4 linked regions of the Alligator mississippiensis genome follow. The protein of the gene in region 3 purifies or fractionates together with the protein of the main gene of each other region. This does not show direct contact. Links are inferred from orthologs where the notes say so. Each region holds a gene or a part of one and is shown on either strand. Other genes may lie near its edges. The genes, in order: SREBF2, SMARCA4, CREBBP and SMARCB1.

Region 1 (7,231 bases), on a different chromosome or scaffold from region 3:
TCTCACTTAAAAGAGAAAATCACAGATTTCTCCTTTAACAGAGAAAAATGTAGGAGTTCTAGCCTGCAGTGGGCTGCTGTGGGGAGTAGGAGCCACCACAGTGAGGTGCAGCAGCGGTAGCAGCATGGAGTTGTGCCCCGACTGCTGCCAGGTGGGCAGGGGGCACCTCAACTTTGTGGCCATGGCAGCATTCCTTCTTGTGCCGTGTACTGCTTCTGATGAGCCACGGAGGCAGCTCCTGCCCCAGAACTTGTCCAGCTCAGCTGCAGTCTGGTGCCCCGTTGTGGGCACAGAAATCTTGGGGGGCACATGCCCCCAAGCCCCCATGTCACTTGTGCCCCTCCCACCCCCCACGCATCACCTGTGCCCACACATGCCCTTTCCCACACTGGGGGGCTGGGAGAGGGGGGCTGTAGTTTAGGAGTGAGGGACACAAGCAGGTCCAAGGGGGTATGGGTTGGGAGTGAGAGGCACTGGCAAGGCCAGGATGCTGTGGGTTGGGAGTGAGGAGAATCAGCAGGGCTGGGAGAACTGTGGCTTGGGAGTGAAGAGCAACAGGATGGGTGGGAGGAAGTCACCGACATATTGGGGCTGCTCGGCACCACAAAGCAGCATGGGGGAACAGCCACAGCTGGACCCGTGTCCTGATAAGCAAAGTGGGTAGGGGGAGCTTTGATTTTTCTATTATTTTCTATGATAAAAAAATATCAAACGCCAAAGTATATAGGTATTTAGAATTTATTTTATTATGACGATTGAGGTACTAGTAGGCTTCTAAATTGCTTTAAAATTGCAAATATATCAATAAAACATTGTGTTCAACTTTATTTTATATATATATATATATATATATAAAAATAATAAAATAATAATAAAAAATAATTATATATATAAATAAAATATAGTGGTGTTTCATTTTAATCATGGGAAAATGCAGATTTTGGGGGTTTTAATCAGAAAATTTGGAATTTTTTATCAGAGACTTTGGATTTTTTAAACAGAGAAAACCAGGATCCCTGCACATTACAAATGAAGCTATGGCCTCTGAAAACTGTCAGATCTAACATTACTTGTCACAAAAGTAAAGGTTCTAGCCCCAGTGTTATGGCCAAATTTGTATTGGGTAGTTACAGTCTTTACTTCAGGTCTTCAACCGTTGTGTATAATTGCTGTCAAATGTCTTCTCCACCTCACTTTTGAGACATCTGTATTTCAGAATAGTTAACGTTTTATTCATATAGAGCTATAGGTTAATGCCACACTTCACTCATGGAGCAGTGTTTTCTTCCCTGCAGCACTATAATACTATGTTAAGCACAAAAGACAGGGGAACGATTGAGGGCTGGGACAGGTTGCGGATTAGTCATCAGAGGAGGAAAGATGGCTGTCAGAAGTGATGTGAAGAAGAATTGCGTGGCAGGTGAGGACAGGGAGATGGGCTGAAGAAAGGGCTGGTCGAGTGGGTGGGAAGGGAGGAGGAAGAAGGAGAAGAGAAGGGACTGGGTAGAGTGTAGAGCATTTGAGGACAGTGAAGGGAAAGCAACAGCAGAGGTGTAGGTGGGGGATTATGTAAAGGCTTGCAAATGAATGAGAGCTTGAATCTGGTGTGGAGGCAGGAAGCCAATACAACAATTTGGAGAGGTGACTACAGTATAGGGAGAGAGGCTGAAGGTTGTGATAATAAAGGCAATATCAAACAAAGGTTTTGGTAGTGGGGCTTGAAAGGAAATAATGGATTTTGTGACATTAAAAAGGAAGAAGAAACAAAGACGTGGGAAGAGAAGACAGAGGAGAAAAGATCAGAGCACCAAGACTGTATATTGCTGGACTCCCTACCAAAAGAGCCTCAGAAAAGAAAGTGGTTAGAGAAGAAGAACGATTAATTAGGGGAAAAGACACATGGCAGAAGGGAACAAAAGTTGCCTGGCCAGCTAAATAGGAGAGCTAGAAGGGTGGAGCAGTTTGCCATACAAAGGCTGCACTGAGGTAAGAGAGGAAGGCCAGGGGTCCCTAACTATCCAGAGAACATGTACATTTGGCAAACTGTATGGCTTGAAATGACACGACAGGATTATATTTGAAATGCAGCCTGGCCAGGGGAGCTGCAGGTTGCTGGTTAAACCATAACTAGAGAGATGGTTTTGTTAACTTTTCCCAAGTGTAACTCCACAGCAGTACGGCCAGTTTGGACATTTTCAAATTGTGAGTCGGGCCCTCCCCAAATCAGGGAGACTGGCTTTAAAATCACAAGAATTGGAAATTGCCCAATAGTTTGTGTTCTGTATGGTGTGTGTTTATGTTTGCCATTGAGTCTTTGAACCTTTAGGAACACTCGGGGCACTTTGTAAAGGTATTTTTCTACAACCACGGAGGGCAAGAAATAAGGTGCAAGTAACACATCATTTATTGTGAAACTTGCAATGAAATCAAGAAATCCTCAAACTCTAGTCCCTGCATGTCAAAAAGGATATAGAGGAACTAGAGAAGGTACAGAGAAAGGCAACAAGGATGATTAGTGGAATGGAGGCTCTTCCATAGGAGGAGAGATTAAAGAGGCCAGGCCTATTCAGATTAGAAGAGAGATGCATGAGGCGGAACATAAATGTTTACAAAATACTAAATGGTGAACAGAAAGTAAACAGGGATTTGTTATTTACTCTCTCCCAGAATACAAGAAGTAGGGATCACAAAATGAAACCAGGAGGCAATCAGTTTAAAACTAACAAAAGGAAGTTCTTTTTCACGCAGGGTGTTGTGAGAGTATGGAACTCCTTGCCTGCCTGATGGTTTAGCCAGGTTCAAAAAGGGATGGGATGCATTCTTAGAGGAAAGGGGCATCAGTTGCTATTGAGCACAGAAGTGAGGGGCACGGCCTCTGAATCAGACGTTGTCCCTTCATGGGCTTGATTGGGCAGGTGGACCCAGTTCAGCCCCTGGGGCATGCGTGGCAGGTCCCCATCCGGTTGTGCGGAGGGGAATGGGAGAGCAGCCTGGCTCCCAGCCAGCTGTGTAGGGAAAGTGGGGGGGGGGGGGGATGGCCTGTTTCCAAACTGGTGGAGCAGGTGAAAGGGGTGTGGCAAACAGCTTGGGGGGGCAGGGGGCATGGCCCAACCTTGAACCAGCCATTAAAGGGGAGAGGGCATGGCTTGCCCCATGGAAGGAAGCAGGCATAGCCCAGCTCCAACCTGGCTGGGCAGATGGAAGGAGGCATGGCCCAGCACCATGTGGGGAGAACAGCAGGTCAAGGCTCTGAGCCCTCGCAAGGGCCTTGGCCTTTTGACAGCAGGGAGGGCGGCAGCCTGACCTGCCCCTGTGCCCCTGCTCCAACTTTCCTGCCCTGCAGGGACCCGGGCAACCTGCTTTCCAAGGCTCTGTGTGCTGCATTTGGCCCACAGGCCAGAGGCTGAGCACCCTGGGCCTAGAGTCTAGACCCTGAATGCTGGAGGCTGTGAGTGAGAGGAGCAGTGCGGAAAACCCTGGCAGCACCCAGTTCCCTCCTCCTTTGTGCACCCCCTCCCTGCCGTGTGACACTGGCCCCGGGGCCCAAGGGGCAGAGCCTGGAAACGGTCATTCTTGTGTTCTTGGGGCTGCAGGGGGCTGCTCCCTCTGGGCTCTGCCTGCACCGGCAAGCCCTGGGGCACCTAATGCCTGCTCAGGCCTTGGTGTTTCCAGGGCCCAGGGGCCCGAAGGCCCCTTTGCTGCGCTCAGCTGAGCTGCAGGGCCTGGCCCCACCGGCAGGGAGTGCTTGTGTCCTGTGCCCGGAGGTGGGAATTGTGGGAAGGCCCTGGAGGACTGGCAGCGTGCAGGGCTCAGCCAGGCTCCTGGCACCTCGCTCTAGCCCTGCCAGCACCTGAGCTCTCCTGGTGCTGCCACTGCACTGCACTGCCCTGCCCTGCCCTGCCCTGCCCTGCCCTGCCCTGCCCCGCCCCGCCCCGCCCCGCCCCGCCCTGCAGCCCCCCCTCCTGCGTTCTGCCCCTTTAAATTCTCCTTCGCGCTGGTGAATAATTAGCAAGGCGGCCCCGCCCCCTCATGAATATTCCACATGGAGAGGAGGAGAGAAAAGGAGGTGGAGGGGCGGGGCTATGTATGCAAATCAAAGCTGCTGATCGCCGACGCGCCATCACACCACGAGCCGGCGCGGCCGCTGGTTGGTCGGAGGGGCCCTGGTCTCATTGACAACGCGCCGCGGGAGCGCTGCCGCGTTGGTGGGGGTAGGGGTAGGGGCTGCCCGGCGGGGGGGCGGGGCCGGCCCAAGATGGCGGCGGAGCCTGCGGGAGCTCGGAGCAGGGACTGAGCGGCGGGACGGTTGATGCCCGGGGTGAGCGGTCGGGGCGGGCCCGCGCGCGGTGGCGGCCATGGAGAGTGGCGAGCTGGGCATGGAGACCATGGAGACCCTCACGGAGCTGGGCGACGAGCTCACCCTGGGCGACATCGACGGTGAGCGCGGGGGTCACGCGTGGGGCGCGGGCTGCGCGCGGTTATGCGTGGGGCGGCGGCACGCGTGGGGGGCACGTGCCCGCAGCCTGGCCCTGGGGCGCGCGTGGGGCCGCCCTGGGTGAGGGCCCGCGCGTGGGGGGCCGCCCTGTCGCGGGTTCGGTGCGGTGGGCCTGGTGGGCACAGGGTGTCTTCGTGTGCCCCCAGGCTTGGCCTTCGCACACAGGTGGGGTTGGCTGGGCCAGACCCTTCTCCTGCCTCGCGTGGGCTGGGTGGAGGGTACTGGGTGGGCGCAGGGTGTCGGGGCCCTACTGCCTTCCTCTGCCTGGGGCTTGGCTGTCCCATGCAGGTGGGGTTTGCTGGGCGAGACTCACCTGCGTGGGCACCATGGGGCTTCCTGCTAGGCAGAAGTCACCCCCGGGGCTCTGCCACTCCTGGCCCACATCCGCCAGGCAGGGTTGCGTGTCTACGCTGTGCCTGCCATGGGTGTGCTTCTCGCACAGACTGTTGCATCCCAGAAGCCTTTATTTCTGTTGGCATCCCCGATTGAAAGGTGTGTGCTGCCTTCCTGTGTCCCCGGCTGCTGTGCAAGGGAGTGCCCCTGAGAGCAGGATCTCCATCAGCTTCCACCATGCTTTTTTTCTTTTTCTTTCTTGCTTTTTGAGAGTTTGCCATATGGATGTTTCTGGCTAACAGCGGATGCTCGCAAGGGATGGGGCAGTCGTCAACAACTCTCTGGTTTCATCATAGCCATTGCTTTCTTGGGGGGCCCTTTTGTGGGATTGACACTGGGAATAAGTGCAGTGTGAATGTGTGTGTGTAGGGTACGGGAATAGTAGTGTCCTTTCAGACATCTGGGTTTGGGGCACCTGCTTTTGTCCTGGCAGCAGTAAACACTGTGCTGCTTATTCTCATTGCCCAGATTCCTACTTCTTTCCTACTAATAACTTGAAGTGTCACGGCCTATAAATAGCTGGTTTTAGCATCAAAGAAATTGGAAAGGATGCAGGCAAGTTAAGTTGCATCTTCCCCTTAGTTCTAGCCTGTCTGAAGTCAGCAGTAAGTTGCTTGAAATGTACTCCCTCGTGCCTTTCCAAGCCCCTGTATAAATGACTCAGACATCTGGGCTTTCACTGATTTCTATGAGCAGGTATTCCATAGAATCCTAAATATGCCTTACCAAAAGGAGACGTTTCCCAGATGCTTTATTCCCCCCCCCCCCCCCCCCCCCCTTTGCTCAGTTTCTTTCTGTTGTTCCCTGGTAGTGAACACCTGATCTGGACTGAATATAAATGCTGGCCTGCAGAAGAAACAGGAGACTTGCTAACATGGCCTGCTGTTGTACAAGTGCCTCTTCTGGCTTTGCTCAACAGTTGATTGTGCAGTGCACGAAGGGAGGAGCACATGTGTTTTACAGCATCCTCCCTGGTGGATCAATACAACATTGAGTCACACATTGGAGTTAAGAGTTGCTGCTAACTTGTAATGTTGCCTTAGGAAATTCTTTTGCTATTTTACAATCTGCAAAATGGGGCTAGGTGATGTTATAGCTTATTATACAAAAGGGTGCTGAAGCTTAATATTAGTAGGTTATGTTGGTGCTGCTCATTGAATATGTAAAGCATTATAGGTGGCGGTCTTTTCAGAGAATAAACAATAGGTGCTCTTTCTGTCACCTGGTGTGTAACAGCCATTTGATGTTGGTAGACCGAACCAAGAGGCAGATTTTCTGATCAGTTATTGGTCAGCAGTGTTACTAGTTGATGCAGCCAGTTTGGTATAGTTCAGAGCAACTCATCCTCGACAGAGGGAAAGGAAGCATGGGAGCATTTTGTTTGGCTCAGCCCTAAGTTACATTTTTAGATGGGGTGAAGCAAGAGCAAGGTCCGGGGCCACCCGAGGCTCCACGGCGCTGCGGTATCGTTACGTTTAGGGGGGATTCTGATTTAGAGGCATTCAGTCATAATCCCACAGATGGTAGCTTCGCCCCATTGGCTCCTCAGCCAAGCACATACACCAAATGTCTGAACCTGGTGTTTTGCAGTCCAGCATGCAAGATCCTGGTGTTTTGCAGTCCAACACGAGCTTGTCAAATAACTTTGATTTTTTTTTTTTTTAAATCTTCCTTATCTCACTGCCAGGGCAGCAGCAGCAGCAGCCCTGCCACACACTCTGCTCTTTCAGGCTAGAGTATTCTCTGCAGTCCATTCTTTACAAATGCGTGCATTTGTACAGTAGTTTACAGTAGCTTGTCAGTCTGAAACATACATGGCAAGGTAAATGATTGTGACTGTGCAGTGTCCAGGCCCTAGTGCCCAGGTGCTGAATACTCTAGGAAGTTAGTACTTTGCGAGTTCAGGTTGCAGAGTAGGACCTGGAATGAGGCCAGGGAGTGTTGTGTGAGAGCACTGATCAGTCCTACTAACTGTATAAAATGTAGGTCTGTCCATACAAAATGTCCACATGCAGCTTACTGCAGTGCTACACAGTTTAAAAAGAAAAACATTATGTTGGCTGTAAAAACGTTGCAAAAAGATGCATTTGAGATCCAGATTGTACAAGACATATCAAAAATATTTTTCCTATCCTGGAAAAGTGAATCTGGCACAGAACACATACATTTAGAGTACTTTTTTCCACCTGAATCAACCCTTTCAACTGCTTATGTCTGTTCCTTTCCCTGGTATTTCAACTCAATTTTTTCATGGCGACATTAAAAGGAAAAAAATGAGTGTACACATATTTTTTCAGCTGTCTCCTGGGGATGAAGTTAGTGTTGTCTGTTGCCCAGCATTCA
Region 2 (7,902 bases), on a different chromosome or scaffold from region 3:
TATAGCATTGCACTAGGAATTAAAATTCAACTGGCTATGTACCCTGAACCCTAACTTTTTTCCTGAGTCACTGTTTTCCAGGATATATTCTCCTGGAGTATAATTTTAACCTTTGTTCATTGTTCTTAAATGTATGACCTTGGCTGTGTTAAAATACTTAAGACTCAAATGGTCTAAGTTGGTTTGTGTAACTGACCAATCATTACTTATTATGCTTGTATCATCTCCAAATTTTCTATTTGCTTCTGAATGGGTGATAAAAGATACCAAATGTCATTTGGGTAAAGAAGAGATCCCTGCAGGACCCCACTTGAAATAGCCTTAACAGACAATGACTTCCCATTTACAATTATATTTTACAATCTTTCAGTTAAGTAGTTTTCGATCCATTTAAGTATAGTCTGATTTTTGTATACTACCAATTTTTTTAAAAGTCAGAATGTCATGCAGGACTAAGTCAAATGCCTTATGGAAGTCTAAGTAGATTATGTCAGCACAGTTACCTTTATCAACCGAACTTGTGATCTCATCAAAAACAATAATAGGTTTGACAAACCCTATTTTCCATATAACCAATGTTCACTGGCATTAATTATGCTGCCATCTTTTAATTCTGTATGGATTGCATAGTCTCAGCTTTTCTATGATTTTACCTGGAATCAGTGTCAGAATAAATGGCCTGTAATTTCCTGTGTCCAACCTATAACCCTTTTTAGAATATTTGTATTGTGTTAGTTTAGAATTAATAATGTTGTGGGGAAGGATAGCGCACACATTTGATAACAGAATTGAGGGCTCAGTAAATCCTAGAAAATACATTACTTCCTTGTAGAGGCAGGATCACAGTACAGGAGTTTATGAGGCCCTGTATTCCAGTATCATATGTGCTATATATGTATATATATGTGTGTGTATGTGTGTGTGTGTATATATATATATGGATTGTTGTGCTTGAGACGTATGGATTGTTGGGGGGGAGCTGTTATATAGTGCTAGGGTGTTTAGATCTATAAGAGAATGGTTTTTTGGTTATATAAAAACTGAATATTTATGTACCAAGAAACCATGTGAAAAACAGACCGAAAGAGTCACTATGACCAGAATAAAGACAGGAAGTTATGGATTACACACCTAGGGAACAAGCACAGCCCAGAAAATCAAATATTTAGTCCACCCACCAAAAACAAATCCTCAGTGAAATCACCCTGTCCCATTCACACACTACACCTTCCCTTTGCTTTCGATTAGAATGTGCCACTGGACAGCAGAAAGTAACTGAGACTCAGGACCATTTTTTTTTTTTTTTTGGTGTATCTTCAGCTCTCCCAACAAGTAGCAGTTTGGTCAGTGGAATTAGTGCCTCAGTTTACACACCTGTAAAATGGAGATTGCCAACCTAAGCATTTTGAAGATGTAAAGCTACATAAGGGCTTACTGTGATGTATTAATGCTGTTTTGCTCCTGTGAAAGGCGACTGTAATTTATATGCATTCAGACTACATAGTGGTCATGAAAGGCAAAGGAGGGGGAAAAATCAATAGGCAATAAACATGTTGGGCTGACTCTCCCTTCACATAAATTTCATACCAACAGCAGCTCTCTGGCACCAGCAACTAGCATTCTTAAAGACATCTGAGGAAATGCAAATCTTCCACCTCAAGAGTCAGCAGTTGATTTATGCTCATTTAATAAGGGTAGGATTTTCAGATTTTTCTATTTTTTTTTTAATCTGGAGCAAGCACTGATGTTCTCTTTGTAAAAAGAGGGGGGGGGGAACAATATTACGCGACAGCAGAATCAATAGTCTTCCTCACTGCAGTGAAAATTAATTTTTGAGGGGGAAAAAAAAAGAAGAGAATAAGGCATTCTGGGCATGTTTTTCTGTAAAGCTCAATTTATAACGTGCATGTTAATTGAAGCTTAATATCAGTGCTTCTCCAAGAATGAACTTGGTGAGGAAAGATTTGAATAACTCAATGCCAGCATGTCTGCAACCTCTTAAGCTTTTTCATGCTAGCTGAAATGATCAGGTTATTGGCTTCTGTCAGGCTCGGCTTTAAGGAAGACAACTTTTAAACTAATTGGCATAGAATAAATAATGTAATTTCATGTTTATATAGGCATTCTTTATATCTAGCGCCTGTCATTCAAGGAGGATTCCAGCAGGCGTTCAGATGGGAACACTACATCCACTGCAGAAACGTGGCCCCCTGTGGGATTGAAAGGAAAGCAGTTCCCGTTCTAATTATTCGGCTTTTCAGTGGTGCTGGGAACTTCTGAAAATGGATAGACAAATTGAACAGACACTTCCCAGGGAGGGTCTGGGAAAAATGCTTCCACTGGAAATGCTGGTGAGGGGTTTTTTTTAATGGAAATTACAGTACCATCTGGGTTCATTTTAGCTACAATACAAACTTGAGCTCATCTTAACCGTTCTTTGTATGTTTCTACAGGACAAATTGAAGGGGCCTGGCACAAGGGAGTTATAAGTCTGGCATATAACCACATTTCAAGCCCCTTGAGAGAGAGAGAGAGAAGGATGTAGAGAAAGGAAACAAAAAGAAGAAACCTCAGAAAACCAGAATCAGCAGCTGGTGAGAGACGTCCAGTTACATATGTCCCCTTCCCAAATAATTCTCCTTTACAATATTTTGTCTGATTTCTCCTTTTATACTGGCTTTTTTCCTTCTCTCAAGGCCTCCCTTTCTCGTCTGCCTAGTTAGATCACTGCAGTGTTTCTTCTTTAATTTTCTTTCTGTTCTCTCCTTTTTCCAGCTGGCTTACCCTAAACACAGCAATGGGATGTGAGTAGTAGGAAAAGATGCACATACTCATTCCAGGGACTGTATCTGATCAGGCCACTATCCAGAATTAGCCCATGAGCTGCAGCAAAGCTATGGTCTTAGCTGTGTCCTCCCCTGCTACAGTCTGCCCCCCCCATTTCCCAGTCCTTATGCCATGACTAGAAAGGGGTTCTATTTATCCCCTCCCCACCTGTTAACCATCCTTCTGAAGCATCCAAGAACTCCAGAACCAGATTACATTCCAGAAGCCTTTGCTGTGGAAAGAACTAAGTGTTTCCCTCCCATCCTTAAGCAAAAACCGAGCTGATTTCTAACCTAGGCACCAAATCTTCATGATTTAGAACTATTTTTATTAAGCCTTGAAGATGAGAGAAAATTAGGAAAGCAGATTAGAAAAAATATGAATTATTTCCAACTGAATCCCACCTCCCAAAGAACCCTGCTTTCTTTAGTTAGCTACAGGGATACTTTGTCCATTTGCTGCCTTCTGCATTGATCAGTTAGCAGATTCCAGTTGGTGTAGACTACAATACTATGGACTAGGCTGGGAATAAGAGACGTGTCAGTGACTGGTTTTTTTTCCTATTTGAAGGATAAATAAAGTAGAGCATGTGCGTCTAGAGCTTTGTGGGAGGAAAACTGTGGCTGTTTTTGGGTGGGATCCAAAAGGTTGCAGCTTGAAGTCAGGTGGTGACACTCCTGGGAAATACATTCACAAGCATGTGAGAACCTCAAGTAACTATTCCACATGTGCATACATCATCCTCCTGCCCTGAACCTTGTGGGCCTTGGCTGGAACCGGCAATGTGAGCTAATGCCTTTGGCAATCCCTGACCCTATCTGCTCTCACAAGTCAAACAGTGTCATGGTGAGTCAATGGAGTGCTTTTCCTGTTGAATCAATGCCCAAATGTGGTGCGAGGGGGTGTTGTCTTGCAGCAGAGATTATCTTTCAGCCAAGGCTGAAAACCCCCAACAAACTTAGAAGCTAGTCACCACACAGTGGCACTTCTTGTTAAGGGCTGGTTTATTAAGATGCCCTAACTTGCTCTGCCATTTCAATTAGGTGCAGAGCTGTGTCCCATCCTTCACTCTAATTTATGTAGCATTTTTCCACGCTGTTAAACAAGTGGTAGTTCTACCCAAAGGTGGAAGTTGTCCCTGGGTATCCCTTACCTGCCTCTCAGAAGAGCCAAGATGCTTAATTAGCACATGTTCATCAAGCCTTTTGGGAAGGCCAGGATTACCTAGGCACATCAGCACCATCCCCTTCGGGCTGCCAGGGCAATGTAGGGCAGCCCTGTCTCAAACAATGGGCTTTCTCCTGAGACTAGACCAAGCTGCAGCCTGGTGCCTCTCAGCCTGGGACCCCGCCTAGGTGAGAGGGTTGGCAGAGAAGCCGTTAGCCCTGGATGGCTGTGGGGTGTCAAGAGAATAAGCCCCCAGTCTCTGGCTCTCCAGCCCCCTCTTTCCTTTCCCCCTCATAGTACTCCCCTTTCACCCCTTCCTCTCCCTTCTTCCCACTCCGTTTTTCTCCCAGTCGCCCCTCCCCCACCCCTTTCTCCCTCAGCCACCAGCCCCTTCTCCAACACTCCCCTCCCCCTCCCCTTCGCCGCAGTGGCGCTAGCATTAAGCATGCGCGGCGACAGCAGTTTTTCCCTCCTCCCCCAGCGGAACAGGGGGGAAGGGCATTCGCTCCGCCCTAGAGGAGCGAGCCCGGCTCGAAGCCGGCCTGACACCGCCCCCCCCACCCCCATTGGCTGGAGCTGCATGGGGTCAGCGCGAAGCGGAAGGGAGCGAAGGGAGGTGGGAGAGAGTGGCAGCCCCCGCAGCGCACCCCGATTGGCCGCCGAGCCACGAGGGGGAGGGTCCGCTGCCCCCGATTGGTGGAGGTGCGGCGGGGGGCGAAAAAAAAGCTCGGTCAAAGGAGAGCGAAAATGTTGTCTTCGCCCTCCTGATTGGCTCGGTTCTCCCCCGCCCCCTGGGCGCACGCGACTGCTGCCGGCCGGCTGGCAAAGAGGCCCCTCCCATTAGCCGAGGCGGGGGCGCGCGCGCGCGGCGCTGGTCGAGGACGCGCTGCGGCGGGAGCGCGCGCAGAGGAGGGGGGAGGGGGAACGCGTGCGCGCGCGCCTCCCTCGCACACGGCGGCGGTGGCTCCTTTGTTCCCCCCCGGCACGAGCCCGCGCGCTGCCCCCGTTGCCCCGGCAGGGATGCACCGTGCGAGCGGCTCCTGCGGCGCCGGGCGCGGTAAGGCCCGTGGGCGGGGGGGCCGCGGCGGGGGGCGGGGGCCGCGGAGCCGGCCCCCCCCATGGAATGGGACCGGGCCAGGCACTGAGGGGGGCTACGGTGGCCCGGGCGGGTCAAGACACCTCGGCGCGCGCGACAGGAGCGGCCGGGACCATTGTTCGCCGGGCGGGGGGGGGGCATCGCCGCAGCGTCGCCTCACGCGGGCTCGGCCCCCGCCCCTCCTCCCTCGGGGCCCTATCCTCGCGGGCACGTGCCGCCTCGTCCCGGGAGGGGTCTCCTGCCCCCCATTGAGAGCTCAGACCCTGTCAGCATCTCTTCCCCTCCTTGTCACAGCCCGTGGGGGGGATCCCCGTGTCTGTGCAGCCCCCTTCCCCCCCTCCGTCCCCCCCCCGACTGCCCTGGTAGCATCAGTCCTTGTGCCCGCGTGGGGGGCTTCGTGGCTCCCCAGGCTCTATGGGGCTCAGGCCTCTTTTCCCTATTGGGGGTTCAGACTGTCCTGACCAGACAGAGGCATCTCTTTCCCCTTCACACTGTGTCGGGGTCTTCCTTCCCCCCGAGGGGATCCCCCCACACCCCTATCAGGGGGTTTTCTGGCCCCTCCCCAGGCATCCCAACTTCCTTGCAGGTGCCTGGCACTCTGCACCCCCCCCCCCCCAGCCCCTCCCTCCCTTCTGCACCATTGCTGCCCTGTCCCCTCCTGGGGGCTTTGCAACCTTTTCCCCCCTCCTTGCACTTACAGGGCTCAGTCTCCATCCTGCCACCACTGCATGATCCACTGTGGGATCCCCTCCCATGCACCTCATAGGGAGACTTTGCTTGCTTCTTCCTTGGCATTTCCATTTCCTTCTCCCCCCAGATCCCCTCTCTCTGCCCCCCCCAGTCCTTCTTCCCTAGCAGTATCTGCTCTTGGGGCCTTTGGTAACCCTCTCTGCCCTCGTAGGGCTCAGAGCCCTCCCTCCTTCATCAGCATCTCTGTCTTTCCCACCTCACACCCTATAGGGGCCCTCTCCCCCTCCATGCCTCACTGAATGATCTCCCTCCTCTTTCACCCCATGGGGGGCTCTGCTTGCCTCTCCCTTGGCATCTCCCATCTTCTTCCCTCCGCCCAGATCCCCTGGGTCTCTGCATACAGCACCCCAACACAGCTCCTCCCTGCTTCTGCCCCCCTCCCAGCAGCATCTGCCTCTGTCAATCTTGAAGACTTTGCTGTCTCCCTCCCCAGCCCTTGTGGGGCTCATTCCCCTTCCCCAGATCCCTCCCCACCATTGAGGGTTCAGACCACCCCACCTCGTCTAGCACCATCTCTCACCCTCTCATACCCTACAGGGTGGGGGAGTCTCTCCTCCCTCATACCCCATGGAGGGGCAGCTCAGCTCATCCCCTCCTTTTGGCATCCTCATCCCTTCCCCCCCCCCCAGCACACTGACCTGTGGCCCCCACTTATTAGTGGGATTCTTCTCCATCCTTCCCAGAATACCAGTGTGTTCCCCCTCAACAATATCTTCTTCATCCTTCCCCCAAGGGAGCTGCCCTTTTAAGATCCCCCCCCCCTTGAAGTACCTACCTTCTTCCTGCTCTTCAGCATCACCATCTGCCCCCCATCCCCTCCAAGGGAACTGCTCCTTTGTCAACATCTTTTCCCCATCCTAGGTGAGTGGGCTTTCCCATCAGCATCTCTACCCTCATCCCCTTCTGTCCTCCCCCAGCATAACAGAGGACCTTCCTGGGTTTAGCATCACCACCAGCCCTAGGGGGGTTCTGCCCCCATTCAGCCTTTCCCCATCTCATTTCTGGGAGACTACCCTGACAATGAGCACCTCCCCATAGTCATCACTTTCCCCCACCCAACCCTTGTGTTTGCACTGGTCCCTTACTCCTCCTGTTCCCTGGGGAATGGGTGACATGAGGGTCACCATTGAGGCCAGGCCCCTAACTCGCAGCCCTTTTTGCATTCAGTTTCTACCAGTAAAAATAATGCCAAAGCCTGCGGAAGAAACCCATGGGAGCCAAGTCAGTTCACCTCTGCTCTTGGAGGGACCAGGAACCCCTTCCTCCAAGCTGTTGCCCATTGCCCAGGCTTGCTATCTCGTGGGGGAGGGTGCTCCCCTACATGCACATATATGTGCACCCATGCACACACAGGCACACAAAGCCCATTCTCGTGTTGGGGGAGGGGGCTGAGAAGAACACCATTCACAGTAGCAGCTGCACAGACTAGGCACAGAAACACATGCGACCCCACACACAAAGCCCATTGTCACACAGTCATCCCCCCTTCCTCCCACCTCATCTGCATGAATTTGGGGCTGCAGGTTTACAGTGCATCTTCTCCCAGGGTTCAGTTAAAACAAAAAAACAAAAAACCCTCCCCCCCACTTTTAATGATATGCACAAAGCACATTTGAATGCAAATTAATTTCCTTCTTCAGCAGGACCAACTATTACAAATCAATTGACAATTGACAGGATGCTCCCTGTTCCCTGGTGCCCTGATATCAGGAGTGGATTTTAACTGTCTTCCCTTCATCTCCTGCTTCAGCGTGGGTTGCTCTTCCTTCTTGGTTAGGCTGCCACTAACAATGTAGTCTATTGTTTTAAAGCAGGGTCTTTGTTGTTGTTTGTGGCGCTTGTCTTTAACTGTCCTTGTAAATTAATTGAATAATATGCTTTTTTTTCAAGGCATATACCTCAGGACAGCTCATGGAAGGAGGTGCCTCTCAATTGAACATTTACAAAATGCCCTTGGCTTTCCAGATACTACAATTTTCTATGTAAAACTGTGGAAAATCTTGACCCAAATATTACAGTGTTAAAATCTTTGAGATCTCTGACTGCATGTAATAAATAATACC
Region 3 (7,062 bases):
TCCCCCAGCTCCCCACTTGCTCTCCCAGCCCCCCCTCCCCCCCCGCCCCACTCACCAGCAGTAGCAGAGAATGAGCAGGAGGCTGGAGAGAGCACGGGAAGTCTCCAGCTTATCTCCAGGGGCTTGTCTCCAGCCTCCTGCTCGTCTCCAGCCCCCTGCTCCTTCCGCTGCTTGTCTCCAGCCTTGGGAGGGAGCAGGAGGCTGAGACTGCCCCTGGAGACATTCCCCTGATGCCTCCAGCCCCCTGCCCCCCTGAGGCTGGAGAAAAGCAGGGGAAGGAGCAGGGGGCTGGAGACAGCCACAGAAACATTCCCGTTGTCTCCAGCCTCGGGAGAGCAGGGGACAGCAGGGGAATGCCTCCAGGGCTGTCTCCAGTCCCCTGCTTGTTCCCCTGCCATCTCCAGCCTCCTGAGGTCCCCCCCCTCTCCAGCCCCCAACCCCCTGCTTACCTGGCAAAAGCTGGGTCTGGGTCCCTGCAGCTTGCACCACTGCCTGCCCAGCACAGGTAGGCAGCATGCTTCAGGAGCAGAGAAAGGGCCAATCATAGAGATGCTCTGGTACTCTGCCAGAGCGTCTCGGGAGGACTAAGCCTCCAGTTGCCTGAGGGCATGGTCCCAGACCCAGTTTTTTCCCCCGGGTTTTTGTTTGACCCCTGGATATCCAGGGGTCTCATTTTCTTGCAGCACACGGAACATTTTTTCACTCCTTCAGTGCCCCTTGCCCTGCCTCAAAGGGGTTTGAGATGGGGCAAGAGGCACATGTGCACTCGTCTGGACGCACCCAACTTGTTTGCTGGGATGAGTTTGGCTGGTGCTGTAGTGAAGTTTCATAGTTGTCATAGGCAGGAAAGACTGCTGGGCTCAGGTGACCCCAGCAAGGTGTGTGTCAAGATGCTTTTTGAAGTTCACCAGGGTTGGTGACTGTACCACCTCATGGGGGAACCTGTTCCAAACCCTCGGCACTCGACTGAAGTAGTAAGTAGTCTTCCTGGAGCTATACCCAAAGGATGTGTGAGTTACTATGACCCCACTGGTGGATCCTGTAAATCCTTATCTGAATTAGAAGTTTTGTCCTCGTCTTCTGAATCAGCAGATGTTGAGTCAGTACTGGAAAACAAATATTGCAAAAAAACCCTGACGACTGATTAAATTATTAGAGTGAACACCTTGTATTCAAGACAACTAACCACTGATGGTTAAATGGGAAAGTTTTGGGTAAAGAATTAGGCCATCATTCAATATTCACTGCTTGAACATTTTGAAAATGGCGTAAGTTGTAAGGAAGTTGAGAGCACTGTGATCCATTGTTGCTTGTGACAGACAATATGACCTGATTTCTCTCCCAGAGGCTGAATCCTCCCACACTTCTGACATAAAATGTATGTTCCCTCTTCCCAACTGGTACAAATATATGACAGTGAAATTGATACATTAAAAGAGTGTATGCAATTCATAATTTCCTCAATGTTAGATGTCCTTAATTACTGACAATTGAAGAGCAATGAATATACTGTTACCATTATGCTGCCTCCAGTTAAAATAATGGACATATGAAAATGTTTCTGGTCCCAGACTTTGGGCATTCTAGTAGTTACTGAGATCCTTGGAATTGGAGTTGTCTATTGTGAATCTTACAGGACATGATTGATTTTCTTGAGATTTGAAAGACGGAATTCAGAGCCATAACAGTGCAGCTTGGCACCAGGGGCAGTTTTAGCACACACGATAGTGCTGGACGCCATGCTGCTGGTGGTAGAGGTGCAGCCAACCACTAGCCATGTAGCTAGTTATTTCTGAATCTCTGCCCCTCTCAAAAAAAGCAGAGCCCACACCTCTGGCCCCAGGTGCCCCTGCTCCCCCCCAGGCATTTATGCTACTGATATAATTTAACAAAAAATAGTAATTATTCACTGGAATATGCATTAGTAAGGAATTATATAGCAATAGGAATAATATAGGTATTGGAACCATTAATTTAAAGGGAACTATTAAGTCGTGCTATGGCTGGCAGCCATATTAAGTAATCCCTTTAATAACTAAAGAAATTCATAAAAGTAACAAATATAATGTAGCAACTGATAAAACAGATTTTTTTTTAAATGGAAATAGATTATTACAGCTTTAAGACGCATAAAATCTAATATATCCAACTAAAGCAATGTATTAACTCATCTGTACAATCAAGAGATCTTATGTTTGTTGCCCCCATCCACCTTGTTTTCTACCACCTCCACTTTTTTTGCCTTAAAATTATATTACAAGTAGTTTGACAGAAACAGTGTTTCTGTGTGCACTTCTGCCACCATGCAGAGGCAGTGTGATGGCTCTCTGCATAGAGGCAGCAAGAATGTGTACAGGTAAATGTTTGCTGGGGAAAGTTTGGCTGGTGCTGTAGTGAAGTTTCATTGTTGTCATAGGCAGGAAAGACTGCTGGGGTCTCCCTTAGACCCTTAAGTACGCCCTGATACTGCCTGAAGGTGGGCAAGTGCTGAGCAGCTGGATGGGCAAAAACATGGGGATCTTGCATGACAGGTGTGCTGACGGGTGTTGGGGTTCTGAAAGTGTGAGAGACATTTCCAATGGCAATGTGTGGCAGGTACACGAACATATCACAGGGTCATTCAGGATTATGGAGTATCGGCATATGGAATATGGGGGAGCATGGAGGAAAGATGAGCTGGAGGTGTGGGAAGTTCTGAACCCTCTAGAGAGGCAAACTGGACGGGAACACTGTGGGGAAGCAAAAGGTGAGAAGTGTGGGTGGGCACTGTAGGATAGGAAGTAGGTATGGAGGAAGGTGCTAGGAGGTTTGGACCTATAGATAGACAGTAGAGCAGTTGCTCAATCCGTGTTACGCAGAGGCGGATGCCGGAGTGGATGATGGTGGGCATCACAGGAAGGTGGAGAGGGAGGTGTAGGCAGAGGGTATTACCGGGGGAAGGCAACAGGGTGAGCACTCTGCCTCGGGCAGCGTGTTGGAGGGGAGCAGATGTGTGACCGGTGAAGACCAACCTGTGTTCAAAGTGATCTAAGATTACAAAATTGTCCGTGTAAGTTAGTAAAATCTGCCGGGTGCTGCCACGGGCGAGGAGGCACCACCTGGAGGCAGAACGGGGGTGAGCGCTGAGGCGAGGTGGGGAGAAGGCAGCAGGGCAGGGAGGACAGGCGCTTACTGGCCGACTGGCGGGGACATGAGGTGCTCCAGGGGCAGCGGGCGGTGGGGACCACGGCGTGGCGGTGCCCGGGGGCAGAGTGCCCACAGCACGGCGGCCGTGCGAGGGGCGCAGGACCCAGGCAGGAGCCTCGGGGGCGCTGTGGCTACAGCGGCGCGCACCGGGCACCCCATATTTGCATGTCTATTTGCATACGCTTCCCCCTCCCCCGCCCACTCCGGCCGCGCTCGGCTGTTTCCGCGGCCGCTCGTGTCTTTCCGGCGATGGCGGGGGAGGGGGCGTTCCCCTGCGCGGTGACGCAGCGCGCAGGCCCCGCCCCGCCCCCGCCCCCATGGTCTCTGGAAAAGAGAAGAGAAAAAAAAACTTTTTTTTTTAATTGAGGAATCAACAGCCGCCATCTTGTCGCGGAGCCGAGCGCGGCGCGAGCGGGAGCAGGGCCGGGCCGGGCCGGGCCGGGCCAGCGAGGCGGCCCTCCGGGGCACGGGCAGCCGCACGGAGCGCCGCGGAGGCCAGGCGGGCTCGGCCAGCGGGGCAGCACCGGCCGGGGCGGGGAGCCGGGCGCCGCCGCCGGGACCGGGAGCCGCGGCCGCCGCGCTGCGCTCATTGTTTTTCTTGCCGGCGGCGGCGGCTGCTCGTGGGTGGGCGGGCGTCGGGGCGGCCGAGCGCGGAGCGGAGCCTGGGCCGCGGCCGGGGTCGGGGCCGGGGCGAGCCCGCGCGGAGGGGAGGGGACGGGCCGGGCCGGGCCGGGTCGGGCGCGGGGGGGGCGCTGTGCTCCCGGAGTGACTGACTGAGCCGCCATCCGGGCACCTCCTCGCCGCGCGAGGGCGGGGGAGCGGCCGGGAGGAGCGAGGCGGGGGGGGGAAGGGGGGGCGCTGGGCTCTCGCCACCCCGCCCCGAGCCCGAGCCCTCCTCCCTGCGGCCTGCTGCGGCGGCGGCCCGGCCCGGGCATGGGGGAGCGGGGGCCGCCGCCGGCCCGGCACTGAGCGGCGCTGTTGTTCGGCTGCTGGCGGCGCCCGACTCGGAGCGCAAGAGCTGGCGGCCCCGGCCGGCGGGCGGAGCGCGGCGGGGCTGGGGCTGTGACTGTCGAGCCGGCTGCCATGGCGGAGAACTTGCTGGACGGGCCGCCCAACGCCAAGCGACCCAAGCTCAACTCGCCGGGCTTCCCCCCCACCGACAGCACAGGTGAGCGACCGCGGAGCCGGCACCTGCGCACCGGCCTCGCAGGCGGCTCCGGGGCCGCGGGACCGGGCTGAGGCCGGACAGGACCGTCCCCCTTGGGGCTCGCCGCTGAACAAAAGCCCCCGCTTCTCTGGCAGTCGCCAGGCCCGCCCCGCCCCGCGGCTCTAAGCTAGGGGATGAGTCCGGGAGGAGCCTGACAGCCCCAGACCTGGCTGGAGAGGTGCCCCCCCCCTCCCCCCCGAGCCTGGCTGCCCCGTCCCTGCAAGCTGAGCCGGCCCTCACGGAGGCCAGACTTGCCGGACCCCCATCCCCTTCTAGCGGAGCTCACTGGCGGCTGGCTCGCCTGTCCTCCAGCTGTGGCCGCTGCTCCAGGACCGGTGACGGGTTCCCCAGAGCTTGGCAGGACCTAATGGAAGTGAAAGGGATCATTCCTCCCTGCCTTTGCTTGCTTATGCCCTCAGATAAAGGTAAACTAGAGGTGCAGTTGATCAGAACTTGAGGATTTCTGTAGGGAGCTTTGGAGCCATGTCACTGCCATGGTCCAGGGATTTCTGTACTTGCTCTTGGAAGACTTAGTGGTGTCTCAGCTTGACTTGCATTTAGACAGAATTATTTGTGCCTATTCTGTGCATTTTACTACTTTGTCAAGACCACATAGTTAGCCAGGGAGCAGGAATAATATCTCCTGAGCAGTCATTATGTGGTGTAAATGTGCCTTCATCCATTGGGAAGTGCGTTTGAGAACCAGAAAGATTTCATTCACAGTAACTACTTCTGAAAGTTTTTGGCTTTGACTATATAAGTTCTTTACATTCTGGGGAAAGGAAAAAAAATGTCAAATTTCCCTGTTTAAAATTACTATTTGCTTGTTTGGTGTAAAGAATTTATGTTTTCCTATACTTACCTTTGTAACTGTTATGACCTGGTTCTTAACTGAAAAGTTGGGTCTTACAAATAGTCACCTTAGTCTGCTTTTGAGCATTTTCCTATAGAAATTTGCAGGTGTCTTATGCATGCCAGTTGTATGATGTCTTGTGTATTGAAAATGCTCACTAGTCTCAAAATACGTACACTTCAACATAGTTGAACAACATAGTTGTAGTTTTTGCAGTAATTATTTATCACAGTAGAAAATATCTTTGAAAATCATGTTAGGAAAAGGGGAATACTTTTCTATTTTGAACAGATTATTTTACAGTTTATTTTTGTAAACTTTTATGTGCATGTGTATAGTTTGAAATTTAGGGTAGTATCTGAAAAAGCAGTAACAGACCAAGAAGGCATGTTTGACACCCACAAGTCTATGAAGGCATGTGAATGTTTAGTGAAAGGGACTTTAATTAAGCCTGATGCTTTTTACACTGAAAAATTATGCTGTAAATGAAAGATTAGGTGTACTGCTATTTCAGCTTATTTACTATCTGTATTTGACTATGTAGTAGATACTTTTGCCATTCTTCTTTCATATAATGTGTAGCAAAGGGAGGAAATGCTTGAAAGATTATAAATGATTCTAGCTTTTTCTGCAAATAACTGGATATCATGTTGAAGAAGAGTGACATATAGTGAATTTCTATATTCACAAGAGTGAATATAGAAATTATAAAATGAACTGTGGAACCAAAGAAAAAAGGAAATCGTTTATCCTAATTTCTCATATAGTTGTTATAGCGTGTAATCCTGGCTGGTAAAATAACAACTTGAAACACTGACTTCTGAAGTTAATAGTTTCTCTTTAGAATTGGGACACACTAAGTTATGTCCCAATTCTGCAAACACTTAAGCCTGTGAGTAGCCTCAGAGAACTCCTTGACAGCAGTGGTGTGAAATGTTTGTAGAGTTGAGGGCCTTGGTCCCTCAACAGTGATGATGTCCGAAAAGTCGTTTTTCTCACATGTACCTTTATAGTGTCTGGTCAGCATCTAAAAATATTCATAGCGTAATACTTCTGAAAAGTTTGAATAGCATTGGTTTTATTGTATCCTTGGTATATTGAAAGGTTTTTATTCCATCTATCTTTGAGTTATCTTTTTAATACTATTTGAAAGGTGAATGAATGTTTCCACATGAGATAACAGGTTGTTAAAAAAAAAAAAAAAAAAAAAAAAGGTGTTCATTATAATGTTTTACTCAAATTCTGACCCTAAAATGAGCTCTTGCCTGTTGTTTTAGTAATAGAACCTTGTGTTGCAACCTGGAAAGTTGCCTTTGATCACAGTTGTTTGGACAAATAGGTTTGAGCCATGTGCTCTTAAAAGCAATAGGCTGTGTAATGTGTAACACTCAATTGTATTTAGTGGCATACTTTAGCTGTTTGCTGCGTCCTTTTGTGAGAGATTAAAATTGATTCAGGTGTAAGTAATGTAAAGCTCAATTGTGCCGTTCTGTTACTAAAGATTAAGTTTGCATTCCTGCAAGTGCTTATATACCTGCTTAATTTTAGTGTTCTGAATGGTCTTAACTGCACAGGTGGACCTGAATGTTTAATGTGCATGCTGTTGTTTAATTTTTTTCTGTTCCTAGTTCATATGATGGTCTGTGTAGCAGTTGGATGGAAGGGCCCCCCTTTTTAGAGTAAATATTTAAGTATCTTAATTTTTATGGTAGAAGTAGTTGATTAATGTTAAAAGCAGTGAAATACAGTTACTCCATCTACATTACAGTGATTATAATAAGAACTGCTTGAGGCAAATAGTCTAGCATTTTGTACT
Region 4 (7,678 bases), on a different chromosome or scaffold from region 3:
TCTATATCATCACACTAGCTGGGATAATGCAGTGGGTACTAAATGCCTCTCAGCACACACAGAGCAAAATCCTAACCATGCTCCTTTGAGCAGCCTGCCCACAATAGCCACTTTAGAACAATAACCAGCAGCCAAGTCTTCACCAACTGGAAGGGGAGAGAGAAGCTTATTTTCATGTTACACAGATTCATCACTTGGGACTCTGACCCCATTGGGGTTGGCACCATGTGACAGTGTGGACAGAAAGTACTGGAGACTGAAGTAGTCCCTTAATTCTCAAAAGAGGCAAAGGAAAGGCAGCAGGTAGGCAAGTTCTCTCCACATCACCCCTTGACACAACCACAGCCTTTTGTAGGGGTGAGATGAGTGTTTCTTATCCCTGTCCCTTTGATGCCCAGCATCCCAATCACTATCAGCAAAGGGGCCTGTGGTGGTGGTGGCAGTGGTTTCCCTGCCATGGACAGCTTTCCCTCAACTGGGCTGACATGCTGGCACATCCCACTGCACAGACATTAGACAGGACATTCCCTTCAATCATGCCTGCCCTTACATGTTCTTCCTTTTTCTCCTCATCAGGCCCTCAGTACTGGATTTATGATGGTGAGAGACGTGTCTCTGGCCCTGCACCTATTACGGAGCTAGGCCTTTCTACTTCTCCCGTCCAGGCAGCCTTGATGTGGGGGACTGAAAAGAACAAGATTTACTTCTTCAAGGGAGGCAATTATTGGCGCTTCAACCCTAGCGCCCGCCAGGTGGACAACGTCTACCCCCGCACAATGGCTGACTGGCGTGGCATCCCTCAGGAGATTGATGCTGCTTTCCAGGATGAGACTGGTGAGTACAGAAAGGAGGAGACACATATCCCTGCATGTGTGTTCTCACCTAGTCCTGCCTCTTCAGTGGGAAGGGAATCAGCAGGATTTGGAGTGTAAGGATCATGTGTAAATTAGCATTCATAAAAGAAACACATGAATGCACACATATGAACACTATGTATACTGAGCGTGAAATCAGTGTCCAGTGTGTATGTGACTGATGCATTTGTAATAAACTTTGCAGACGACCAAGTAATTAAGCATCTGTAGCCTCCTGGATATTAGCATCCTTTGGGAGAAAATGCAAGGAGAACCATGTAGACATATTTTGTTGGTTAGAGAGACTCTAAATCAATACTGCCCTCCATTCTCTTAGTCACGTGAGTTTATATGACTTAGTTTATATAAGCTGTATATGCACTGATCAATGCTTGTATTAATCAGTAATCTAACGAGGTTACAGACTAACACAAGGAAAACTTCCACACTGTACACACTCCACAAAGAAAAAATGCATACCAGCATTATGAACAGCACTTCCTTTGCTTTGGAGGATGCTCAGAATAGCAGAGAAGTACTGTCATTATCATCTGGTTCCCCACACTGGGGTTCTTTGCTAAAAAATGGCAGAGCAATGCCACACCCTTTATCCAGAAATATGTTGGGAGCACTTGACAAGAGATGCATTAACCCTAACATCTTTTCCTTCCAAGGGAGTCCTTCATAATCAGCATTATGCCTGAACTCTCAGTAGTGGCTTGAATCTCAAGGGAAGGGCATCTCTCAGTGGTAACAGATTCCCATCACCACCATCCTACACCTACTTGCATATCGAGTAAAGGTCTAATTCTGAGCCCTTATCTCCCACTCAGGCTGTATTTCTCTCCTCACCTCCCTCCCCTATTGGTACCACACTTAAAAAAGGCAGCCTGATTTGCTAACCTAGTGAAGCAAAACAATGGGAAGAACATTTCTGGGTGACACGACTGACATGCACAGCTTTCTGCTCACCCTCCTTTGCTGTTTAGTGTTCTGGCCTTTGGTGTGGCTCTTCATCCTCTGAAAAAAACGAAGGGTCTTGTCAGTAGTATATATTCTGTCTCCTTTGACACTTCACCACTCTATTTCCACAGGTTTTGCCTATTTCCTGAGAGGCCGACATTACTGGAAGTTCGACCCAGTTCAGGTGAAAGTGCTAGAGGGTTACCCACGCCAGATCAGCCAGGACTTCTTCAGCTGTACACCTTCCTCCAACTCCTTCCGATGAAGAAAGGGGTGCTAATGGCCCCAGATTCTTCTCCTGCCTTCACACATCACCACCAGTCACCTCAAGAGATGTCCCACACTCTGACAAAGAAACCCCACTCCTGTCGTGCTCATCACTTAACACCATAGGTGGCACAAGTGGCTTGAGGCAGCTGTTAGTCTAAGGTGGAAACCTTAGATTCCAGGAGTTTGTACTCACAGCTTGGTATAGACATTAAAGATGACTGCAGCCTTGATGACTACCAGCTGCCTGCATTAAGGGTCGAGTGGCTGCTCTAACAGTTTTTTGGCACTGACATCCTAAAGACAAGAAGCCAACTTGGAATGGGGTCTGCTTCCATAATTATCTGGACACCATCCACTTAGAAAAGGGATTCCACTGGTATTTCTTTTGTTTACATTGTGTACAGCGGGGCTTCGCTTACTGATGTTTGCATTGGTGAGAACAGATTCCATCAATAATCCTTTCCTTAGCCTTGGCTGGGAGTTTTAACAGTCAGTTGACTATGTGTTGAGAAATTCAGATATGTGCCCATGTTGCCAGGGTTACTTCAACAGGACGGGGTGGGCTCCTGAATTTCAGCATCTTGTTCCACGTCTAGTGATACTTCTGTTTTTGTATTGCATTTTAAGTATGTATTTTCATTTTATATGGATTTGTGAAAATACTACATACTTTTTTAAGAAAAAAAAAAAGATGCTAGGTTTCAGTGCTGGACGCTGCCTTGTATCTCCATGTATTGTTACTAACTCTGGGAGTCTCAGTAGGACACTAGATCACCACACGACCTGCGGAGGGTCTGAAACTTCACCACCAATTTCAGAACTGCACTTGGCCAATGTCCAGGTCTCGGTTCAGCTCTTTGTTCTCTCCCTATCACTGCAAATCATTGTGCAAACGATGATTATTTTGTTCTTTTTTGTTCCTCCCCCTTTCTACCTCTCTCATCCATGCCATTCCTAGCCCTCGCCCCATCTCTCCAGTTCATTCCAGTTGCATCTGCTTCCCAATCTCATCATTTCTGATGCTTGGTACGGATCTAAAAAAGAAATCAACAAAACAAACTTTTGCTGGTTGTTACAGTCCCAGGTAGCATGACGACATCCCATTACTGCTCTTCCCAACTGTCCTGGGAAGGGTAGTCCAGAGGGGGTTGAGACCTACTCAGTTATCCTTTCCATGTATCAGCTTTCCTTCAGAGCTAGTCAGCAGAGACAAGTGGGATTTAAACCTACCCACAGCAAATAAGGGATGTGGCTACATGGCCTGTACCACCCCTAGCCTGCATGGTCTGCCTAAGCACTACAAATTTACCTCATTCATTTTTCAGGTCAAGGTTTTTGTCTTCTCAGTACCCATTTCTACAGCCGTTCTTCTTCTGTATGTAAATGTTTGTAAAATGTGTATAAACCCTTTTTATATATACTGTGTATATATTTATATGCTGTGCTGTATCAATGAACGTGATCTCTTTTCTATGCTCTGCCTGGTCTGAGTCTCTCAACATCAACAACAGCTTTAAAACCGGTCCCAACTCGAGACCTCGTCTTAGGCAGTGACGGAGCTGGAAACGCAAGTGGTATTTTTGTAACCAGGTCTCAACATGCTCAGTTGACCCAGTTTCATCAAATGCAGCAGTTGTGGCTACCAATTATCCTCACCTAATAATATATATCACTGCAGTAGTGTTTAGAGGCCTTTGATCAGGATGTAGGCAGGAAACTATGGCCTTGTGCTGAAGAAAAAAGTGAAGGAAAACTATAGCAAACACTGAGGACAGGCAAAGCCTGAGGAGCCCCTGCAGAGCTGCTAGTAATTGCTCGTTGCCAGCAGATCCAGGGAGATAATTATTCCCCTCTACTCAGCACGGGGAGGCCACATCTGGAGGACTGTGTCCAGTTTTGCAGCCCCCCAAAGGGATGTGGACAAATTGGAGAGTCCAGCAGAAGGCAGAGGCAATGGCTGAGGGGCTGGGGACACGACACACCAGGAGGCCGAGGGAACTGGGCTCATTTAGTCACGGAAGAGAAGACGGAGCAAGTTTGAGGGCAGCCTTCAACCACCTGCAGGGGGGCTGCCACGAGGACGGGGCCAGACTGTCCTCAGCGGTGGCAGGTGACAGGACAAGGAGCAAGGGTCTCTAGTCGCAGCAAGCTGAGGTTGGATATTAGGAAACACTCCTGCCGAGGAGGGGGGCGAAGCCCTGGGACAGGCTGCCCGGAGACGGGTGGGATCTCCAGCCTGGGAGGCTTTTAAGGACCTGCTCGGCAAAGCTTTGGCTGGGGCGATGCCGCTGGGGACGGCCCTGCTCCGGGCAGGGGCTGCACTCGATGCGGCCCGAGCTCCCTCCAGCCCCCGGTGTCTGCGGCACCAACCAAGCGACCCCTCGGCGCTGCTGCAGCCCCCGCTGCCGGCTGGCGCCAGACGAGCCAGGCAAACGCCGCGTGCAGCGGGACTCGGCCTGGGAAAGCCGGCGGGGACCGACGGCACCAGCCTGGGGGGACGAGTGCTGCCAAGCGCACAGCGCGCCCCGCCCCGCCCCGCCCCGCCCACCCGGCGGGCCCGAGGGGGCGGGGCGGCGCGTGCGCACTGAGAGCGCGGAGCAGGCCGCAGTCTACCCAGCCCAGCTCGAGCCGCTGCCGCGTCCCGTCCCGTCCCCGCCGCCACGATGATGATGATGGCGCTCAGCAAGACGTTTGGGCAGAAGCCCGTCAAGTTCCAGCTGGAGGAGGACGGCGAGTTCTACATGATCGGCTCCGAGGTACCGCCGCGCCGGGCCGGGCTGGGCCGCGCCGGGAAGCGCCCTGCGGTGGGGGGGAGACGGGCTGTGAGCGCCCCGGCACCGCCTGGACACCCCCGATTGGGGCAGGAGGTCATGATGGGCGCGCGCACACACACACTGAGTGGGGCAGGGGGTCACAATGGGCGCGCGCACACACACACACACACACACCCCAGTTTGGGGCAAGGGATCACGGTGGGGGCACACACATGCGTGCACACACACTGATTGGGGTAGGGAGTCACGATGATGGGTACACACACACACGCCCCCCGTTTGGGGCAGGGGATCACAATGGGTGCGCGCGTGCACACACACACACACCCCTCAATTGGGGCAGGGGGTCACGATGGGCACGCACACACACACACACACACACCCCCTGATTGGGGCAGGGGATCACGATGGGCGTGCGCATGCGCACACACACACACCCCCCTCGATTGGGGCAGGGGGTCACGATGGGCACAGACACACACACACCCTGATTGGGGCAGGGGGTCACGATGGGCGCACGCATGTGCACACACACACACACACCCCTCGATTGGGGCAGGGGGTCACGATGGGCGCACACACACACACACCCTGATTGGGGCAGGGGATCACGATGGGCGCGCGCGTGCACACACACACGCACACCCCTCAATTGGGGCAGGGGGTCACGATGGGCACACACACACTGATTGGGGCAGGGGGTCACGATGGGCACACACACACACACACACACACACACCCTGATTGGGGCAGGGGGTCACGATGGGTGCACACACGCACCCCCCGTTTGGGGCAGGGGTCATGTTGCTCACACACACTCTCTTGTACACAAACACTTTGGCCCCTGACCGACCAACCCCTGAGTGAGGATAGATGAGGGGGGAGACTCCCCATGACAGCGCCTGGTCTCCGGGCACTCCGAGCCATCAGCAGCCCCTGCTGGGCCTGGCAGACAGGCCGCCAGCCCCACGGGGCTCAGGGCCTGATGAACAAGGCTGGATGGGGGTGAAAGAGCTGCCCCTCCCCCCCCCACACCAACCACCACCATTTGGGGGGGGGGGAAGGGCCTCGTTTGGCTCGCGGTGCCCCCCAGACCGAACCTCCACGCTCTGGGCTCTAGGTGGGGAACTACCTGCGCATGTTCCGGGGCTCCCTGTACAAGCGGTACCCCTCGCTGTGGAGGCGGCTGGCCACTGTGGAAGAGAGGAAGAAAATCGTCGCATCTTCTCACGGTAAGGCCCCGAGCATCTCGTCCTAACACCTCATGCACAAAAGGAGTGTCTGGGAATGGGACCGGGCAAAAACCATCTAATCACCCCCCACCCCTGAGGGAGCTCTCGTTGAATGCCAGGAGACTAAGGCTTTTCTGACTTTTCTCAGGTGAATTTCATTTGCTGTAGCAAGCATCTAATCTAGTCTGCTTGCTCGCTGCTCCTGTGATAACAGGGCAGGAGGGTCATGGTGCTTGTTCGAAAAAAAAAAAAAAATATCCCTCTGATTTGTCTCCTCTCTGGGATCTCTCCATGTGAGATGGGAAGATCAGTGTGAATGGTCGCAGCTTCTAGAGCTGTTGTAATGCGAGAACTGCACCAATAGGAACAAAGCAAAGTCAAAATTTTGTTGTCTCAGGAGTTTGTTTCCTTGTTTCTCTCATGAAGGAGAACAAGCTACTTGAGTTTTTTGGGTTTTTTGGAAAAAAGAAACATAACCTTATAGAAACAACAGGCCTGGAGCATAACAGGCTTCTGTCTCCTTCCTCTGAGTTTCCTGCTGACTTGTCGCTTTCTGTTTTTTTTCCAATAGAGTCACAGCGGTCTCACAGTCCCAGAAGATGTAAGTCTTATCAGCCTATGTTATTCTTAGCTTTGCTGGACAACGAATCCCTGTTCTGACCCTTACTGCTGTACAAGCATATTCGCCTCTTCTGGGTCATTGGACTCGTTTGCCCTCTACTTTGGCTCTTGCTGCCTTGAAGAAGGATGTATTTTTCTTAGTGGTTGTACCGACTGTGTTTGTTCACAAACTTATGTGTGGGTTTTGTGGGCTGTCTCCAGATATGAGGGGGGCTGCCAACCAGTCTCCCAGTTCTCGTTTTTACCTGGTTTTTACAGGCACTTGTCCTGTCTGCAGTGGAGTCTAGCTTTGACTAATGCTTTTGATTAGTGTGTGCAACAAGGGCACACTGCTGACTCGTATTCAGCTTATTGTCCACTGTAACCCCCAGGTCCTTTTCTGCAGAGCTGCTGCCCAGGCAGTCAGCCCCCAGCCTATGCTGGTGCATGGGATTGTTCTGAACTCTGTTCTGCATTTAGCTTTCTGTCTCCTTTCTAGCCCGCCCTCCAGGCCTCATTAGTTTCTAGGATGTCTCTGTCCTGCAGTGGGAGCAATCAAGCACCTCATTAAAGGATGCTACATGAGCATCAGGTCTTAAGTCCATGATGGCACTTGTGGATTTATGGTACAGGAGTAAAGCTAGGTGTCAGCTCATTTTCCTGTCTGTAGTCATTTTATGTTCAAAAGAAGGAACAAAGAGAGTGGTCTTTAACTTGTTGCTGAGGTGTGGTCCCAGGTAAGCAGATTAAGAAGATTTTTTTTATATATCTACAGTGGGAACTCCAGGATAAAAGACATTTTCATCTGATGCACGTTAGATTTAATATTTAATGAGGACTTGGACATTTCCAGTCATTTTCTTGCAGGAATATTAAGGTTTGTTATTAAATAGCTCAAGATATTCCTTTTGTCCTTACAAAAAGTGGTGCTTGATTCTCTAATAATAGGCCTTAGCCTTCTGCTCTAGAAGCACTGGGTTCATAG

The links.
Region 1: the proteins of CREBBP (region 3) and SREBF2 purify together in Homo sapiens (affinity purification with western blotting; 3 studies listed by BioGRID and IntAct, with this or other methods). This does not show direct contact. The link is inferred for Alligator mississippiensis from reciprocal best matches to the Homo sapiens genes CREBBP and SREBF2.
Region 2: the proteins of CREBBP (region 3) and SMARCA4 purify together in Homo sapiens (affinity purification with western blotting; 3 studies listed by BioGRID, with this or other methods). This does not show direct contact. The link is inferred for Alligator mississippiensis from reciprocal best matches to the Homo sapiens genes CREBBP and SMARCA4.
Region 4: the proteins of CREBBP (region 3) and SMARCB1 fractionate together in Homo sapiens (co-fractionation; 3 studies listed by BioGRID, with this or other methods). This does not show direct contact. The link is inferred for Alligator mississippiensis from reciprocal best matches to the Homo sapiens genes CREBBP and SMARCB1.

What each region holds. Positions count from the first base shown.
Region 1 is NC_081827.1:96,982,117-96,989,347, reverse strand, and holds the start of SREBF2 (sterol regulatory element-binding protein 2), read left to right. Parts: upstream 1-4,231; 5' UTR 4,232-4,355; coding exon 4,356-4,437; intron 4,438-7,231.
Region 2 is NC_081831.1:23,547,665-23,555,566, reverse strand, and holds the start of SMARCA4 (transcription activator BRG1), read left to right. Parts: upstream 1-4,886; 5' UTR 4,887-5,050; intron 5,051-7,902. UniProt on the Homo sapiens protein: ATPase involved in transcriptional activation and repression of select genes by chromatin remodeling (alteration of DNA-nucleosome topology).
Region 3 is NC_081836.1:24,211,088-24,218,149, reverse strand, and holds the start of CREBBP (CREB-binding protein), read left to right. Parts: upstream 1-4,050; 5' UTR 4,051-4,269; coding exon 4,270-4,354; intron 4,355-7,062. UniProt on the Homo sapiens protein: Acetylates histones, giving a specific tag for transcriptional activation. Mediates acetylation of histone H3 at 'Lys-18' and 'Lys-27' (H3K18ac and H3K27ac, respectively).
Region 4 is NC_081833.1:18,298,666-18,306,343, forward strand, and holds the start of SMARCB1 (SWI/SNF-related matrix-associated actin-dependent regulator of chromatin subfamily B member 1), read left to right. Parts: upstream 1-4,669; 5' UTR 4,670-4,750; coding exon 4,751-4,843; intron 4,844-5,981; coding exon 5,982-6,093; intron 6,094-6,664; coding exon 6,665-6,694; intron 6,695-7,678. Other genes in the region: MMP11 (stromelysin-3), read left to right, coding at 577-834, 1,949-2,082.